Bombyx mori: one gene and its partners. The protein of the gene in region 1 interacts with the protein of each later gene in a pairwise test. Links are inferred from orthologs where the notes say so. Each region holds a gene or a part of one and is shown in the gene's direction. Other genes may lie near its edges.

The links.
Region 2: the proteins of nuclear protein 1 (region 1) and syntaxin-18 interact in a two-hybrid assay, tested with the Homo sapiens proteins (2 studies listed by BioGRID and IntAct). The link is inferred for Bombyx mori from reciprocal best matches to the Homo sapiens genes NUPR1 and STX18.
Region 3: the proteins of nuclear protein 1 (region 1) and GTP-binding nuclear protein Ran interact in a two-hybrid assay, tested with the Homo sapiens proteins (2 studies listed by BioGRID and IntAct). The link is inferred for Bombyx mori from reciprocal best matches to the Homo sapiens genes NUPR1 and RAN.
Region 4: the proteins of nuclear protein 1 (region 1) and proteasome 26S non-ATPase subunit 4 interact in a two-hybrid assay, tested with the Homo sapiens proteins (2 studies listed by BioGRID and IntAct). The link is inferred for Bombyx mori from reciprocal best matches to the Homo sapiens genes NUPR1 and PSMD4.
Region 5: the proteins of nuclear protein 1 (region 1) and RNA-binding protein cabeza interact in a two-hybrid assay, tested with the Homo sapiens proteins (2 studies listed by BioGRID and IntAct). The link is inferred for Bombyx mori from reciprocal best matches to the Homo sapiens genes NUPR1 and FUS.

Annotation. Positions count from the first base shown.
Region 1 is NC_085114.1:11,550,029-11,552,619, reverse strand, and holds nuclear protein 1, read left to right. Parts: upstream 1-1,310; 5' UTR 1,311-1,418; coding exon 1,419-1,640; 3' UTR 1,641-2,045; downstream 2,046-2,591. UniProt on the Homo sapiens protein: Transcription regulator that converts stress signals into a program of gene expression that empowers cells with resistance to the stress induced by a change in their microenvironment.
Region 2 is NC_085127.1:13,549,892-13,553,411, reverse strand, and holds syntaxin-18, read left to right. Parts: upstream 1-1,219; 5' UTR 1,220-1,359; coding exon 1,360-2,136; intron 2,137-2,771; coding exon 2,772-2,960; 3' UTR 2,961-2,978; downstream 2,979-3,520. UniProt on the Homo sapiens protein: Syntaxin that may be involved in targeting and fusion of Golgi-derived retrograde transport vesicles with the ER.
Region 3 is NC_085116.1:5,374,850-5,378,502, forward strand, and holds GTP-binding nuclear protein Ran, read left to right. Parts: upstream 1-1,411; 5' UTR 1,412-1,487; intron 1,488-1,853; 5' UTR 1,854-1,880; coding exon 1,881-2,306; intron 2,307-2,407; coding exon 2,408-2,623; 3' UTR 2,624-3,152; downstream 3,153-3,653. Other genes in the region: syntaxin-1A, read right to left, coding at 259-291. UniProt on the Homo sapiens protein: GTPase involved in nucleocytoplasmic transport, participating both to the import and the export from the nucleus of proteins and RNAs. Switches between a cytoplasmic GDP- and a nuclear GTP-bound state by nucleotide exchange and GTP hydrolysis.
Region 4 is NC_085123.1:2,845,244-2,848,454, forward strand, and holds proteasome 26S non-ATPase subunit 4, read left to right. Parts: upstream 1-1,351; 5' UTR 1,352-1,434; coding exon 1,435-2,523; 3' UTR 2,524-2,634; downstream 2,635-3,211. Other genes in the region: ribonuclease Z, mitochondrial, read right to left, coding at 2,643-2,686. UniProt on the Homo sapiens protein: Component of the 26S proteasome, a multiprotein complex involved in the ATP-dependent degradation of ubiquitinated proteins.
Region 5 is NC_085116.1:7,692,238-7,696,594, forward strand, and holds the start of RNA-binding protein cabeza, read left to right. Parts: upstream 1-1,506; 5' UTR 1,507-1,653; coding exon 1,654-1,663; intron 1,664-1,742; coding exon 1,743-1,895; intron 1,896-1,982; coding exon 1,983-2,271; intron 2,272-4,357. UniProt on the Homo sapiens protein: DNA/RNA-binding protein that plays a role in various cellular processes such as transcription regulation, RNA splicing, RNA transport, DNA repair and damage response. Binds to ssRNA containing the consensus sequence 5'-AGGUAA-3'.

The DNA of each region.
Region 1 (2,591 bases):
ATAATTTAGTTTTCACATGGCTCCTAGTAAAAAGGCGCCCTGTTCCAAAAAAAGCTCTATTATAAGATTAGCACATTATCAGGTAGCAAGCAGCATAAGGCCTTATTTCGAAATAGTAGTAAAATACGCAGTAGTATGGTGAAATTGTCTTAAAAACAGTTTGAAAATCATGAACTTTCCTACATATCGCTAATATGTGTACTTTTGCCATATTAAATTTGCACACCTAATCCAATTTCCGATTAATCGTATTGTGGTAAAATAAAAATAAAAACAAAATAATAAAAAAAGCTTTAACTATTCGATACCAGAGAGCAGCAGTGGTGACTAAAATAATTAAAAACGTCTATTGCAAAAGTGCCTACCTTCATCGCCCACCTGATATTATTATTCACAAAACAAGCTCAAGTCAGGTAATACACACATTGATAATTACAAATAATGTTACCACAAGAATATAATTCCCGCAAACTATAATATTTTAAGAGTAACGTTGGGGAGAAATTTTTTTTTCGGGAAGTAGGAAATTTGAATCGTTCTTTCTTCTTTCGATTAGATCGTTATGAAAATTTTTATATATTTTCATATTAAAAACGTAAAATTGTGGCGAACATAACAAGTGAATGACTGATTAATTTGATAAGAATGATCTTCAATGTTCAAGCTGTAATTTGAAACATATGGACTTCCAGAGAATAGTTTGTCAGATAAAATTTAGATTATTTCGTAAACAACAAAATTCTAATTAGCATCAATCGGCAAACGAATTCATGGCGCACTTGCCTTTGAACAGCTACTGAATCTGTTACATACCACAACGTGACTACTACCTCATACATTGAGACATTAGGTGAAATTACGTATAAGCGCTTGTCGCCGGATCTTCTCAGTGGGTCGCGTTTCCGACCCGGTGGTAGATTCTGCGAAGCACTGCTCTTGCTAGGGTCAGTGTTAGCAACACTCCGGTTTGAGCCCCGTGAGCTCGCCTACACACGTTAGGGCAAAGCTGAAATAGCCTCTCAAGGCTATCGACATAGATAGGAAAAAAAATGACATGCGCTAACATTAATTAAACACTTAATAAAAATGTTTGTTAGACGCGGATTAAATTGAATACCCAAAATGTTTGTATTTTTTCGTTTCTAAGCTGGTATCCTCAATCGGCATTCACACATACGCATACGTAAGAAGGTGACTCAAAACCGGGTCGTAGCGCTCGCACAAACTTCGTTGCGATTGCAACAGCCAATCACATTTCCAGAATGTTATCGACGCGCATGCGGTCAATGACGTGTCTTCGCCGGCCTATATAACCGGCGGCTCAACTAGCACTACGAACATTTTGTCCGACAAAATTCAAAGTAACACTGTCAACACGACGTTTCCGTTGTGATTTCTGTATTTAATATTAATACCAAATGCCAAACGTAAATATGTCAGAAGCATTCTTTGACGAATACGACTACTATAATTTCGACCACGACAAGCACATTTTCACGGGCCACGGTGGTAAGCAGCGCACCAAGAAAGAAGCGTCTGAACACACCAACCACTTCGATCCGTCCGGGCATTCGAGAAAGATCGTCACGAAACTCATGAACGCCGAGCACAACAAGAAGACTTCAAACACCAAACACTAGATGGATTGCTGATCAATAGACAACTATGGCTAGCAGAAGGACTATTGAGTTGCCAAACGAAAGGAGGACGCTATTGCGGATACCCGAGGAGTGTTCGGGTGGATGCTCGTCTCAGAGATCGATGGAACATCCTAGGCGTTTTTTTGCTCACACAAAATTTCTACTTCGCCCACTCACAGAGGCTGCGATTTAGAACGGGACAACGCCACAAATGAGCCAAGCAGTAAGTCGGTATATTTTGGACGTAACACCGTTCCAGTGTCTGATCTCGAATAATGGGCTCGTGAGCCCGGAACTGCTGTGTTATTATTCCTAGTAAAATTATTATATGTTTAATTTATCTCTCCGAGATACTCGATGGACTGTAATAATTAATTTTAAGACTAATAAATTATAGTTACATAAGATGTGTTTATTATTGATCTCTTGGAGTGGTATGGGCGGCGGCGGCGAGGTCGTTGCCGTGTGCGCAGAATAGGTACTATTAGAAACGCCAACTGGCCTATGTTTATACACAAAGGTAACCTTGAGTGAAGACGGCAGACAGCGAGGTAGCTGGCCTTGTCGCACTGTTTATCATCGCTACGATACTCGATATTCGATTAAACTGCGTCGTAGAAAATACAAACGTGTTTCCAGAGGTGGAAATGTAAATATATATTCATAAACAAAAAAGACAAACTAACAGAAAAGTAATAAACTCATATTTTTGTATCTTATTGGAACATGAAATTCCAGGTGTGCTCGCCAACAACGGCGATAAAACACTTGCATCTTTGTAACACAAAAACAATAGCATTTCAATAACACAGCTGCAGTTATTTCAAAGTAATATTTAGATTAATAAAGTAACAAACACATATTACCGACACATACACAATTGGATAGGTAATGGAACGTGTAGTTATTTAGGTACATATATGTGTAAAAACATCAGACCGTTCACTTTAG
Region 2 (3,520 bases), on another chromosome or scaffold:
GGTTGATGTTGGATGGTTAAATTTGAGGTGATTGGGTTCTGTAGGTGATGGAGGGCTATTTAAAAACACACTGCTTCATTATAATTATATTGCAGATAGTTTGAACACCATTTTAAAATTATTATCTTTATATTTTTATAAAACTTCTTACATGTTTCTTTGACCGTGTCTAGATTAGAAGTATTGACTTTTTCTTACGAGAATACAATCATCTGTTTTTTAAACGTTTAAAATAATTCTAATATTCGAAATCTGTAATCATGCGTCAAGTGCTGCCTGCCATTACATTTATATTCAAACTCCAACAGTTGAACTGAATTAAATTCAATTCACCCAACTGAACTGAGAACTGTCTAAGCATCTTCATGCTTAGACAGTTCTCTAACAGACCTAAATTTGATCGTGTCTGCTGCACCACGCTCTGAGCGAAGCTCTCATAGCTGATATGTCATACATTATAACACAAATGTGAAACCTAATAAAAAAAAGAAACAAAAAAGTTAAAAATTGTGTATTTTTTCTAAACTTTGAAACCGAGTTTTAAAAAAAAGCAAGTGTTCAAATATCAGGCATGTACCTTATCTATTCTCGCCACAGTGAGCAAAAAAGTGCCTTAACATAGAAATAAAAAAATATATTTAAAAAATCATAACTCGAAAACTATTAAAAATCGCGGAACGTACATGGGGGTGGTTCGGATAGCCCTAGTGATGTTCTACCTCTGGACTTCGGCTTGACACTATTTTTTAGGGCACCCTGTATAAGCGACAGAAGCTTTATAGAGTGGTGTAACATTTATTTCTGTCTCTCTTCCGTCTCCATTCGATCTGAAATGCTTTCGGCTACTGTAAATTTACGAGCAAAAGACTTCAGATCAGATTGTGTATAATAATTTTTTTAAGGGATTTTATGACCTGATAACTTTCTTCGGATGTACATACTGACTTTTTATTTTTTCACATAAAATTATACGACTAACTAATTAATGCTAGGCAACAACTATTCTTCTTAATAAACTTATGATGGTTAGATGGTTGGATGGCAAGAAGACCAGTTCTAACATGAAGAAACACTAAATAGACAAAATAAAACAAATCACACAACTTCACTCCACGTGTTCCCGCCAAAAAGTCCATGTAGCCATCACAGATTAAAATATTTATTACTATTAAAATATTTATTACTACTTAAAGCCATGCTTACTTTGCCTTTTCAATTGGATAATTTTAAAAAGAGAATTTGGTTAGTGTCTACTCTGTGAGGACATTATTGATTTGTCAATTCAATTTGTCAAAAACGAGTAAAACTTACGTGTTATTGAAGGAAAAAACATTTAAAACATAAACAAATCCTCTTAAAATGGATATAACACCATTATTTAAGGCTTGCATAAAAACTGTTAAAACTCGTAACAAGGCTTTCGGCATACACAGTCCGATTAGCGAAGATAAGCAACGCATATTGAGGGTGAAATCAAAAAATGCTTTCATGGCAACAGCTAAGGATATTTGTTCACAAATTACAAAGCTTAGGGACTTTTTATTGGAACACCGCGATAAATATTTAAGCTTCTTCAATAATGTTACTGGAGACGATATGTCTGATGAAGAGCGCGACCAAATAGACACCGGTGCGCAACGTATCATGAACACATGCTCACACCTGCTAAAAGAGTTCAGGAATGATAATCGAAGAACTACAGTGACCCCACAAACTAGGGAATATATGGACTCAGTCGTAGATTTAATTGATGCTTATTTAAAAGCTGTTTGTAAAGTGCATAGTGAATTGAAAGCAATGAGAGTTAAGCGAGCTTTAGATATGAGAAAATTGTCTAGACTTGAGCTACCAGCGACCAAATCTAGTATTCCTAATCCGTTTACACTAGATAAGGTAATAGAAAAAGAGAATGAGACAGAAGATGAAAAAGAAAATACAAAAACAAAATTAGACTTATCAGAGAATGAGATGGCAATTATGTCTGATGAAGGAGAGTTGACTTCAGAAGAGTTGCAAATGTTTGAGTCGGAGAATGTACAGCTGTTAAATGAACTAAACAGTATGACGGAAGAAGTTAAACAAATTGAAAGCAAAGTACTACACATTGCAGAACTTCAAGAAATATTTACTGAAAAGGTAAAAGGTTAAAATTGAATAAATACATAAGCCATTTAAAAAAAAAAACAGATTACAAGAAAAGAATATCTGCCACCAGAGAGGATGAATGTTGTTTATTATAGTCTGTGTATTATATCTTTATAAAATTGCACATACTGGTACATACATATCATAACTATCTTGATCTTAAAATATTCATATTTGGATGTTCTTTCATACGTAAACTATTGGATGTAAATAAATTTTTCAAATCCATGATACTTTAATTGATTTATTTAGATTCAAATTGATATTACTGTTTGTAAAAGTATAATTAACAGTAGCGGTTAAGAATATCTGCCACCAGAGAGGATGAATGTTGTTTATTATAGTCTGTGTATTATATCTTTATAAAATTGCACATACTGGTACATACATATCATAACTATCTTGATCTTAAAATATTCATATTTGGATGTTCTTTCATACGTAAACTATTGGATGTAAATAAATTTTTCAAATCCATGATACTTTAATTGATTTATTTAGATTCAAATTGATATTACTGTTTGTAAAAGTATAATTAACAGTAGCGGTAGGCAGGTAGCTTTTAATAATGAGATATACAAACAGTTTGTCTGACATAAAATGTAAAAAGTGTAAATATGTTTCAGGTTTTACAACAAGAACAAGACATAGATAGAATATCGAATACAGTTGTCGGGGCAACTGAAAACGTTAAGGATGCCAATGAACAGATTAAGCAAGCTATACAAAGAAACGCAGGCCTAAGAGTATATGTTCTGTTCTTCTTACTGGTCATGTCGTTCAGTTTGCTGTTCCTAGATTGGTATAATGATTAAATTTAGTAGTTACTGGTGGTTTTGTGTTTCATTTTCTAAATAATGATAATTTTACAAAAAAAAGGAACAGTTTTGATGATAATAAAATGATCTTAATTGAAATTTTGGAATCAATGATGTTAATATTTTCGCTTTAAATAAACACGTTTTATCAGAGGCTTCTTATGTTTTTTTATGTGAATACGCAAATATTTCACTATCGGTTATATAAAATATACACTATTATTGCTAGAGTTTCGATCTATACTTTAGCCAAACATTTTTTTAGTTGTTTAAAATACAACTATACATATACTAACTAACTATTATACTTATGCTACTAACTTTAACTTATATGAATCTTAGTTGATAACATGAGAAAATGCTGTTAATTAACGTTGTACCATCTATATTATTTTAAAAATACCACTATTTTATTAATTTAGTTACAAATATAACTTCGGTTTTTTACCAGTCGACTAACTTGGCTGTATGTGCTATTTTCTCTTGGACTATCTATTTAAACGTCAAAGTCCAAACTGTCAAGTTCCAACCCCGGGACCTGGGGATTGTTTATTTTT
Region 3 (3,653 bases), on another chromosome or scaffold:
AATAGCGGAACGCAACAAATGTCTCGCATGAATGACAGCTATCATTCATCCAAGTCGAGTACGGGGTGGGGCGACCAGAATAAAGAACCCTCGTATATTTGGTTTGTCCAAAGATGTGTAGTTCTTAAAAAGAAGAAACTATGAAAATATCCTTCAAACTCACGATAGGCACCTTATTATCGGTATTTCATCATGAATTCGAGGTCATCGGCAAGACCATTAGATGTGCGAGAAGAGAGAAACTACAAATCTACTTACCGCTTGAAGCGCCGCTAACCTGTCCTTCGTCATCCTTTACAGAGAATCACGCACCAAGTAAACGTTTTTTCTCGTTACACAATCCCATTCAAAGATATTTTTCTAACAAACGTCACTAAACTAAAGGACACGAACACTACGTTCACTTCACTCAAAAAATCGATACCATACAAAACGTTCAGACGAGCAAAACTTCACTTATCGCTGGTCGCTACACTCGCTACCTGTCTCATGCTGTCAAATTTAATGTTGCCATAATTTTTTTCTAGGATCCACTAATATTAAATATAAAAAAAACAAGGCACACATGCTAAGAAACAACTTATAAGCTTCGTGCGCTACTGTGAAATGAAGATTGTGAGATGGATATAGTATGGCGACCAGGCTCATTAAAATTAAAAGAGGAGTACGTTTTAAGAAGGCCGCAAGACGAAACTCAGCAACGATATATTCATATAGGAAGGATCTCAGAAAGAAACTTTGCACGAAGAAGAATAGTTGCTTGTTCTTCTTCGTTCGAAAATCTATCGAAAGGCCGAAGATGGAAAAAATCCATCGAGAAGCAAGAGTGATTTTATAAAATTTTAATAGTGTAAAGAGGAAAAAGACGATCTTACGAAGTCTTTGTGGCCGATAGAATTCCCGCGGGCATTTACCATTTCTTATTGAAAGAAAATTTGTGTATAGCGTGTGTTCATGAATGGCACTCATGATGAGCAAATTAAAATAGAAAATTAATACAAAACCATTAATACAAAATAAGCTTTATGCTATATTTTTTTGGGAGTCATAATTGCCAATTTTGTTGGCAAAACCACTAAGATGGCAATGTTGAATATAAAATGTTTGAATTTGTAAGCTATAGGGGGCGTAGTGGTTTCGAAATACCAGTGACGTCAAATACCCTGTAGTCAAAACAGCGCATTATACGGCTTATATTATTAATTTTAAATACTGTTACCCAAATAGAAATTAACTCATTTACAAAATATATCTGATTGAAAGGTTAGTATATAAAATGCAAATTAATATTTTTTTAAACATTTGAAATAGTTTTACGTGGCTTTCATAAATTTAAAAAGACCTCACACTGACTCTTAATTCACTGTGCTTGTCAATGTCAAAATTGTCATTGTATGTAATCTTCCGCTTAGTCAAGTGACGCCATTGTGAGCCGTAACGACTTTGCTTTGGAACGAGTTAAATCTCGATTTTCTTATACAATCACGGTAAAGCCTTTAAAAAAATTATTTGTTTGTGTTCTATAAAAAACTGCCAATAAACTGATATCCATATTTATATTATTGGCGTTGTAGTTTTTCAGTTTTTCTCTTTAGAGTTCGGTACCTTCGAGCTAAATTCCTATGAGAGTGATTGAGCGCCATTCGCCGAAAAGTTAAAACAAATTCAAGTTGTCAAGTTCATTCAAACTCACAATTTATGTACCCAGTGATGAATTTAATCTGCTTAAAGTGTTGAATTATTTCTTGTATTCCGCGAAACCTAGTGAACGATCGATTGAAACGACCTGTCAACCGTGCGTCATAGAACATTCTATGGCTATATCCTAATTTTAGTTTACCACATTGTTTCAGAAGTAAAATAGCAATAAAACAACGAAAATGGCAGATGATATGCCCACATTCAAGTGTGTATTGGTAGGAGATGGTGGTACTGGCAAAACAACCTTTGTCAAAAGACATTTGACTGGAGAGTTCGAGAAAAAATACGTTGCGACTCTGGGTGTCGAAGTACATCCTCTAGTATTCCATACGAACCGCGGGCCAATTCGTTTTAATGTGTGGGACACAGCCGGACAAGAGAAGTTTGGTGGTCTTAGAGACGGATACTATATTCAAGGACAATGTGCTATCATCATGTTCGACGTAACCTCTCGAGTTACGTACAAAAATGTACCTAACTGGCATAGAGATTTGGTCCGTGTATGTGAAGGTATCCCTATTGTCTTGTGCGGAAACAAAGTGGATATTAAAGACAGAAAAGTTAAGGCGAAAACTATTGTTTTCCACAGGAAAAAGAATTTGCAGGTAAATAAAACTATTTTCATTCAATTTAAGAGTTAATTTTAAGGCAAAATGTTAAAATTCTTTGTAATTATTTTTGTTTCAAACTTGATTATTTTTTTCAGTACTACGACATTTCTGCTAAGTCAAACTACAACTTCGAAAAACCCTTCCTGTGGCTAGCTAGAAAATTAATTGGTGACGGTAACCTTGAGTTTGTTGCCATGCCTGCCCTTCTGCCACCAGAAGTTACAATGGATCCTCAATGGCAGAACCAAATTGAAAAAGATCTTCAAGATGCACAAAATACTGCTCTTCCTGAGGAAGATGAAGACTTATAAATATGATCAACGGATGTACCCAGTGCCCATTTTGTGATTGGAGGATCATGCAAATGTGTTCAGTGTAGCGTACACTAAATTTTTTCATTCCATTAGGTGATCGCAAATGAACATTATTTTAATAACTTATTAAACCTTCAATCATTTGCTTTAATTAATGTAAAATCATTAGATAATTTAACACGTAGCTCCTCTAGTTTGAGTTTTATAAAACTGTAATTCTAAACTTTTATATTGAAAGGCAACAAAAATATGAGTATTATTTATGTGTAGTTCATTTTTGTTACAGTTGTCATAAAAACATTTTGCATTGATTGCCCAATATGTGTTAATGCCTATTTGGTCACTGTTATTTATAATACACATGTAAACAAATTTGTATGATAACTCTTTGTAAACCAATAGCATGTACACACATAATATTATAATCTTGAAATTATTTCTTACTTTTGTTACATGCAAGGACTGACAATATTTCACTGAAAAATTGAATTGTGGTGATACTTTTTAAATAAAGTGTAAAAAATGAGATCGTGATTTTACTTCATCATATAAATAAAAGAAGCAATGGAGAAAATGGGTTGTTGTAACTTAAGATTCTTTAATAATAATAATATGTAGAATCTGTAAGTGATCTGATTTGTGTGGTTGTTCACAATATTAATGAGCTATCTAATTATTGAAAATATATGACGAAATACTGAGAAATTATTTATTAGCCTCTCTTAAATATTAAGTTTCATGAGGTAGGTACCTACACATTATGCATATGCCTTCAATATCTGGGATTTGACCTTTAGTGCCCTTGATGGCTGGCTCTGAGGCTTTTTCAAGCGTATCTCGAGTCGGGGCGGTTGCCGTCGCAATGAAAGTTACTTTTTAGTCGTTTATTCCTTTAAAACCCTGTCCTGATTGGAAATCGCTGGGGCGCTAAAAAATCACGGACGTTGGGTGTGGTGGAGGTTCATGGCACTATATTGTTCACCGGTTTGGTGTTACGCTCTGATCCTCGAAAATGCGACTGCGCTGT
Region 4 (3,211 bases), on another chromosome or scaffold:
ATAGTTCAATGACAAATCTTAAATTTAGAGTAGATGGCTCGCTGGAGTCACGCTCTTACTGACTTAGAAAATTTCAACTCATCTAATAAAAGTACTGGATACTGATTGTAGATAAAAAGAGAAGAAAATAAAAATAAAAAATAAAAATAAAAATGTCTGTTTTCGGGCCTAGAATAGCACCACCCCATCTCTTCACATAGGTGTATGTTGTAAGAGGAACTAAGCAGCGTTTTCTAAGTACCAATTATCGCTGCATTCTGTGACGGGCAATTAAAAAAATATTAGTCACCGAAATTCACGGTTACGTTATAAATCCTCCTCCTACCATTTTTCTTTTATTGCTTAGATGTGTGGACGGACTCACAGCCCACCTCGTGTTAAGTGGTTACTGGAGCCCATAGACATCTACAACGTAAATACCGCCACTCACCTTGAGATATAATTTCTAAGGTATCTGTGTAGTTACAACGGCTGCCGCACCCTTCAAACCGAAGCGCATTACTGCTTCACGGCAGAAATAAGCAGGGCGGTAGTACCTACCCGTGCGGACTCACAAGAGGTCCTACCACCAGTGATTACGCAAATTATAATTTTGCGGGCTTGATTTTTATTACACAATGTTATTCCTTCACCGTGGAAGTCAATCGGGAACACTTGCTAAGTACGTATTTCATTAGGTAAATTGGTACCCGCCTGCGGGATTCGATCACCGTTGCATCGCTCGATAGGAAGCACCGGACGTCTTATCCTTTAGGCCACGACGACTTCAAATCTTGAACCTAAATATCTTGCAAGCAGGATAACATTTCAAAACAATGCTTACATGGCTTTCAGTTTCATTAAATTAATTTACCTTTTAGTTTCAGTCGAATTGATTCATAACCAAGACTTATGTCTTAGTTAGGAACGTAGATTAATCGATGTAATAGAATACACCATCTTTCCGTAATTGCGAACCATTTCCTGTCTAATTAGGATTCCACCGAGTGAAAAATATTACTTGATCGAGTATTGAATCTTGTACGAGTTATTAGAGCTCTTCTAGTTTTTGTCGAATATTTTTTTAGACTACAAGACGCCTGTTAAAGTCATTGTTGAAATGATATGTAACCTGTTGATTTGGCTTAAATTCTCAGTGAAATCAATATAATGTGGTAGAAATAAATGTAAGGCAAATTTTCTGATAACTGTATACAAGATTTACTAGGTATGAAAACTCGACACGATTATTTTTACAAAGTTTTTTTGATATGAATTATCTCAACACTTTTGCCACTTGAAGAATAGTTCTTAATGTCAATTTGTTAAATATGTCATAAGTCAATCGTCAGACATTGTCTATGATTATACAGCAATTTTTGTTCATTGTACGAATTGAATTGACTACCGTTGTATTCGCTTTAATAAATATTAGTCTGCTGAAAAAATACTAAAATGGTCTTAGAAAGTACTATGATCTGTGTGGACAATAGTGACTACATGAGAAATGGAGATTTCTTGCCGACACGACTGCAAGCTCAGCAGGATGCTGTTAATTTGGTATGTCATTCCAAAACACGATCCAATCCTGAGAATAATGTCGGATTATTAACTCTTGCAAACGTCGAAGTATTAGCCACACTTACTAGCGACGTAGGACGTATCATGTCCAAGCTCCATCGCGTCCAGCCAAACGGTGACATCAATCTATTGACCGGAATCCGCATTGCACATTTAGCTTTAAAACACCGTCAGGGAAAGAATCACAAGATGCGCATAGTAGTTTTTGTCGGTTCCCCTGTCAACACTGACGAAAAGGAACTCGTAAAACTAGCTAAAAGGCTAAAGAAGGAGAAAGTCAACTGTGATGTTGTTTCGTTTGGAGAGGATTCAGAAAACAACCCCCTTTTGACTACCTTTGTCAACACACTAAATGGGAAAGACACATCGACTGGGGGAAGTCACCTTGTGTCTGTGCCAGCTGGAGGCTGTGTTGTGCTTTCTGAGGCTTTGATAACAAGTCCTCTGATAGGTGGTGATGGAGCAGGCCCTTCTGGCTCTGGTTTGTCTCCTTTCGAATTTGGAGTAGATCCCAATGTAGACCCAGAGCTCGCATTAGCTCTACGTGTGTCGATGGAAGAACAAAGGCAACGTCAAGAAGAAGAGTCTCGTCGTCAACAGACCACAACTGAAGGCGAAACTGGCACTGCCACTGAAGGATCAGATACAGCAGTAGAGAGAGCCATTGCTATGTCTCTCGGTCGTGATGCAATGGAACTCTCTGAAGAGGAGCAGATTGCGCTTGCAATGCAAATGAGCATGCAACAAGAAGCACCCCAGGCTGAAGAGAGCATGGATGTTTCTGAAGAATATGCAGAAGTTATGAATGATCCAGCATTTTTACAGAGTGTGCTTGAGAACCTTCCCGGAGTAGACCCACAGAGTGAAGCCATCAGAAATGCTATGTCAACAATCAAGAAGGATAAGGATGAGAAGGATGAGAAAGACAAAGACGGAAAAGGATCCACATCTAAAGAGAATTAGTTTATTTACTTTTTCATTTTCTTTTGAATAGATACATGTTTGTAAGCTTCAACATTGGAACATGACAGTGTTGATATATCTATAAATTTAAATAAATAACACTTTATTGTACACCATCATTATTTCCACGAGATCCAATTCAAACCTTCAATTTTGTCATACACTGTAACAAAAGAGCCTCTGAAAAATAAAATTAGAATAATTAAAAATAAGTGATTTTCGATATGTATGCTCTGTTTTTTACTTTTAAATATTTCTGCATTATTGAGAAGAATCAAAGCCAGCCTCATCTGCTTTCGATTATGCTGCTTAAATTAACATGAATGGTGAAATAAATATTTCACATTACTAAATAGCTTACTGGACCAAGGTGGTCACGACCCTCAGTAATGAGGAAACGACAGAGAAGAAGAAGAAATAGCTTACTACAGAGCAAGTAACCATTTCAGACATGGGCTTTTATTCCTGTTTGTATTTATTTTATTATGCACTATTGTGAGTGTGGCTTAGGGGGCTAACACTTTTTTATTTTTTTATTTTTTTTTATTGCCTATATGTGTGGACGAGCTCACAGCCCACCTGGTGTTAAATGGTTACTGAAACCCATAGACATCTACAACGTAAATGCGCCACACACCTTGAGATACAAGTTCTAAGGTCTCAGTATAGTTACACATCATTGAACACC
Region 5 (4,357 bases), on another chromosome or scaffold:
CAACCAATCTTGCTTTTGTACTATTATACTATCGGAGAATGAAATATGTAATAGTTATATAATAGATATATAATAGACTATCGTAGGATAGTATCCTGCTTTTGAATAAACGGTGTCACAAGGTTTAATATTAGGTCAAACGAGATCGAATCCATTTATAGATAATTTCTGAAGTCTGCTGGTTCTAAATTACTCATAATATTCATATTTGCTAACATTCCGCGCAGCAATAAATATTTCTTCTGATGCTTGTTTTTTTTTTTTTTTTTGAGAAATTGAAAGAAAACACAAAAACAAACAAAAAAAATGTTGTTTAACAATACTGGGGTCATCCTCTTACGTACACGACACGTCTTACTTCGTCGCATTTAAACTGATAATTGATTCAGTAACTGAATTTAGAACAGTGTAATCAGAAGCTTCTGAATTCAGACGACTAAATTCAGCCAAATGTCAGCCTTCTAAAAGAGGATAGAAAATAGAGTAAGGAGGACAATCTTGTAGGTAGGTAGGTATAATGGATAAGTTGAAAAAGGGGTATACCTGTAGATAAGCTATTGTTGGAAGTTACACCGAAATAGCGCTAGTGTAGGAAATGGAAATGATCTGAATATTTTAAGCAGAGTGAAGAGTGCTGGGCTGAGTAGAATATTTTATATTTTTCGTGACTTATGCAGTATAATGCAAAAATGTGTTTAAAAAATATGCCGTATTTAAAATCTCAACTGTTTGTTTTTATTACTATTTGGAAGTATTTCTTCCCTTTTTAATTTAATATCCTACTCTAATAGCTTACGGCGTTCTTTTTAAAATCTTTCCACTTGCTTCTATGGCTTCACCTTAACTGGCTCCCTTTCAGCGGATACTTATGAATACACTGGGGTGGTTCTCCTTACTTCTACCTTCCTAAATGGTCAATAGGATTTTTTTTATTATTATTACGATCTGTTCCATGCAATGTCGTGGCTGCTTTTATATGACTTATTCTATTTCAATTTATTTGGTATTCCATTTATTTAATATAATTCAAGTATAATTTTACTTTCAAATAAATCAATTAGAACGAGATTAATTTAATGAAATAAAACGACGTCCCAGTAATGGTAGGAATTTACTGAGACTTTCGTGGATTTTTGGTAAAATCACCAGAAGCTGTTAGCAATTCCGTTTATTTTTTATTGCTTAGATAGGTGGATGTGCTCACAGCCCATCTGGTGTGAAATGGTTACAGGAGTCCATAAACATCTACGACGTAAATGCGCCACCCACCTTGAGATATAAGTTCTAAGGTCTCAAGTATTGTTATAGCGGCTGCCCCACTCTTCAAACTGAAACGCATTACTGCTTCACGGCAGAAATAGGCGGGGTGGTGGTACCTACTCGCGCGAACTCACAAGAGGTCCTACCACCACTAAAAACTTCATTATATTTGTGCACTTTCACTGACTGAGCTTTAATTGTCTTTAATCTAAATTTTTCATTCTTTCCCTTTGCACATATCGATGAATAGCCCCGATCAATTTAAGGTCTATGGTTTCTACTTCCTTTTGTCGATGGTGTGCGTGGCGTTACTTTTCTATTAATTTCGCGATAATAATTATTGCGACAGTATACACGAGAATCATAGTAATTAGTGCTTAATCCGGCAAGAATATGGGTGATCGTTCGTATAACATTAATACTGTCTTAAGTTTTGAAGATCCGCAATATAATCAAAATTAATTTATTAAATTACATCGTAGGTGAATATAGTGGCGGTGGATACGCGTCGCAGTATTCGGTGCCTCCACCGGCATCAGCCGATAACAATAGTTATGGCGGTGGGCAAGGTGGCTATAACCAAGGCGGATACTCTGGGCAATCTCAAAATCAAGAATGGAACCAACAAAGTTCAGGTGAGGTTATAATGCTAAATTTCACATTTCCATGTAAAGGACGTATTTGATTTAGGCGTACGACTAATACGAAAATACAAATTTTAGGTGGTAATTCCTATGGAGGAAGTAATCAACAAAGTAGTAACTATGGTCAGAGCTATGGAAGTGGTTATGATAGTGGCGGTGGCTATGAAAGAAGTAATGATGGGTATAATTCGAGTGGAGGAGAGCGTGGCGGGAGCAATTATGGAGGCAGTGATCGTGGTGGTTCTGGCTATGGCGGTGACAGAGGCGGCAGCGGCTATTCTGGAGGTGGAGACCGTGGCGGGTATGGTGGAGGTGATCGTTCAAACAACTTCAGTAGAGATGGGGGAAATAGAGACGGTGGATATGGGTGAGTTTCTTTTCTTTCTTATTTTCTAAGATAATCATTAACGAAACGGTGTATACTTTATTTGAAAATTTTGTAATCTCGGACAGGGAAATGGAATTTTAGAGCTGAAAAGGAAATTATTAACACTTAAAAAAAAACCAAATAGATGAAGTGCTTACTATCCAAATCTGCAGTTTTTTTTTTGTTTTTGATATGCTCTCTAATAATAATTAAGAAGATTTGGATATGTGGATAAAAATGTTTTTAATGTAAACCATTGACCTTCTAACTATACCTTAATTTGCACATCAGCTAACTCCACTGGTCTATTTTGTCTTCATTGGCCAAAAAAGACCTACCTGGTGGATTGACCACTGTTGTTCATCTATGTCAATATTGGCAGGAGCACTGCCAAGCCATCGCTACTTTGCACTATACTTTCTGTATGAAATTGTCACTGTGTGATTTATAAAATAAATAAAAAAGACTGAACTGCAACTGATTACTTGCATCAACAATGAACAGAAATTAAATAATATGCTGGATTTGTGTATTTGATATTGCAACATTATTATTAACAAAGATGACATCTCAAAGTTGGTTCACAACATCTACATATGTTGTGTTTTTAGATACATAGCATAGGAGAAACTTATCCAACAATTAACCTCACTTATAAAACAACAGTTCCAGTCTGCTGGTTAATGTAACCTGATAACTGTGATTTTGCATAAAAGTTGGATAATTTGAGTGTTTTCTTTATTGATTTTTTATTGCCCTTGTAGGCAGATAAGCATACGGCCCACCTGATGGTGAGTGGTTACCGTCGCCCATGGACTTAGCAATGCCAGGGGCAGAGCCAAGCCACTGCCTACCGCTTAATACTCTCCACAAGCCTTGTTTGAAGAAGGACATGTCATAGCGCTCGGGAAACACCGTGGAGGGGAGCTCATTCCATAGCCGGATGATACGTGGCAAAAAAGACCTCTGGAAACGCACTGTGGATGACCGCAGTGGCTCCAGGTAGTATGGATGAACTGTACTCCGGTGGCGGGCGGTGCGATGTTAAAAACGAGATGCCGGTGTCATCTCGAACAATTCCTCAGAGCACTCCCATGGAACATATGGTACAAAATACAGAGGGAGCCGAAGTCCCTCTGCAGACCCAGAAGTTCCAAACGATCCGTGAGAATGGGATTATTGACAATCCGAACTTAATATTGTACGGGGGGGGGGCAATATCTGGGATATGTCATCATCTTTCAGGGGCCCTTTTTTTTTTTTTTTCCGGGCCGAGGGCCGAACCTCCTACGAGGTCCCCGCGCCTAGGGGGCGCGCGGGGTATGTGAGACTCAACGATCTGCAGGTGTTGAGAGCAGACCGCGGGCCCAAGGAATTTAGGGCCCACCCACTAAACGACTCCCCTGCACTCTTACACCCGGCGTCCGATCTCCGTCCGGGGTCAAAACCCGGTCAGAGTAGGGGGGTTCCCGCGGTCAACACTACAACCAGACACGCGGCGCCACCCCGAGGACGCCCGACCGACGGGTCGTCGAGGCGATAGTCGACGACCAACGACGTCAGTCTCCGCGGTACGGCGGCCCTTCAGGCCGCCCGGGCGATGCCGCTGGTGTTCCGGGATACCCCGCTGGGCCAGAACAAGCCTGCCGGGTCGGAACGCGATACACCGCCGACCGGGTTGCTCTTCCACAGTATGTTCGGCGACGATAGCGACGACGAAAATGCGGACCGGACCGCATCGCAGTCCGCAGCCGCCGACGCGTTGTCCCGTCCTCCTGGTGCCAGCGCGCTAGAGTGACGGTAGCGTGCGGCGCAGTCTCAGCCCCCTTAGGTCGCCCCGTGACCATCACCGGGAGGAGACTGCCTCCTCATAGGGGCCGGAGCTGGACAAACGCCCTCCTCCGACCCCCGGCTCGACGGCGGCGGCACGGCGCCGAGAGGGAGGAAGAGTTCTCCCTCTCCCGTTCCGCCGCCTCCTTCTGCGAGATGGTGGACTCGCAGAAGTCGAGCATCGCCTATCTTTCAGGGGCCTAAGACAAGCCTGACCACCCAGGATGTTTGAAATCTTAGCTCCCTATGGCTGAAA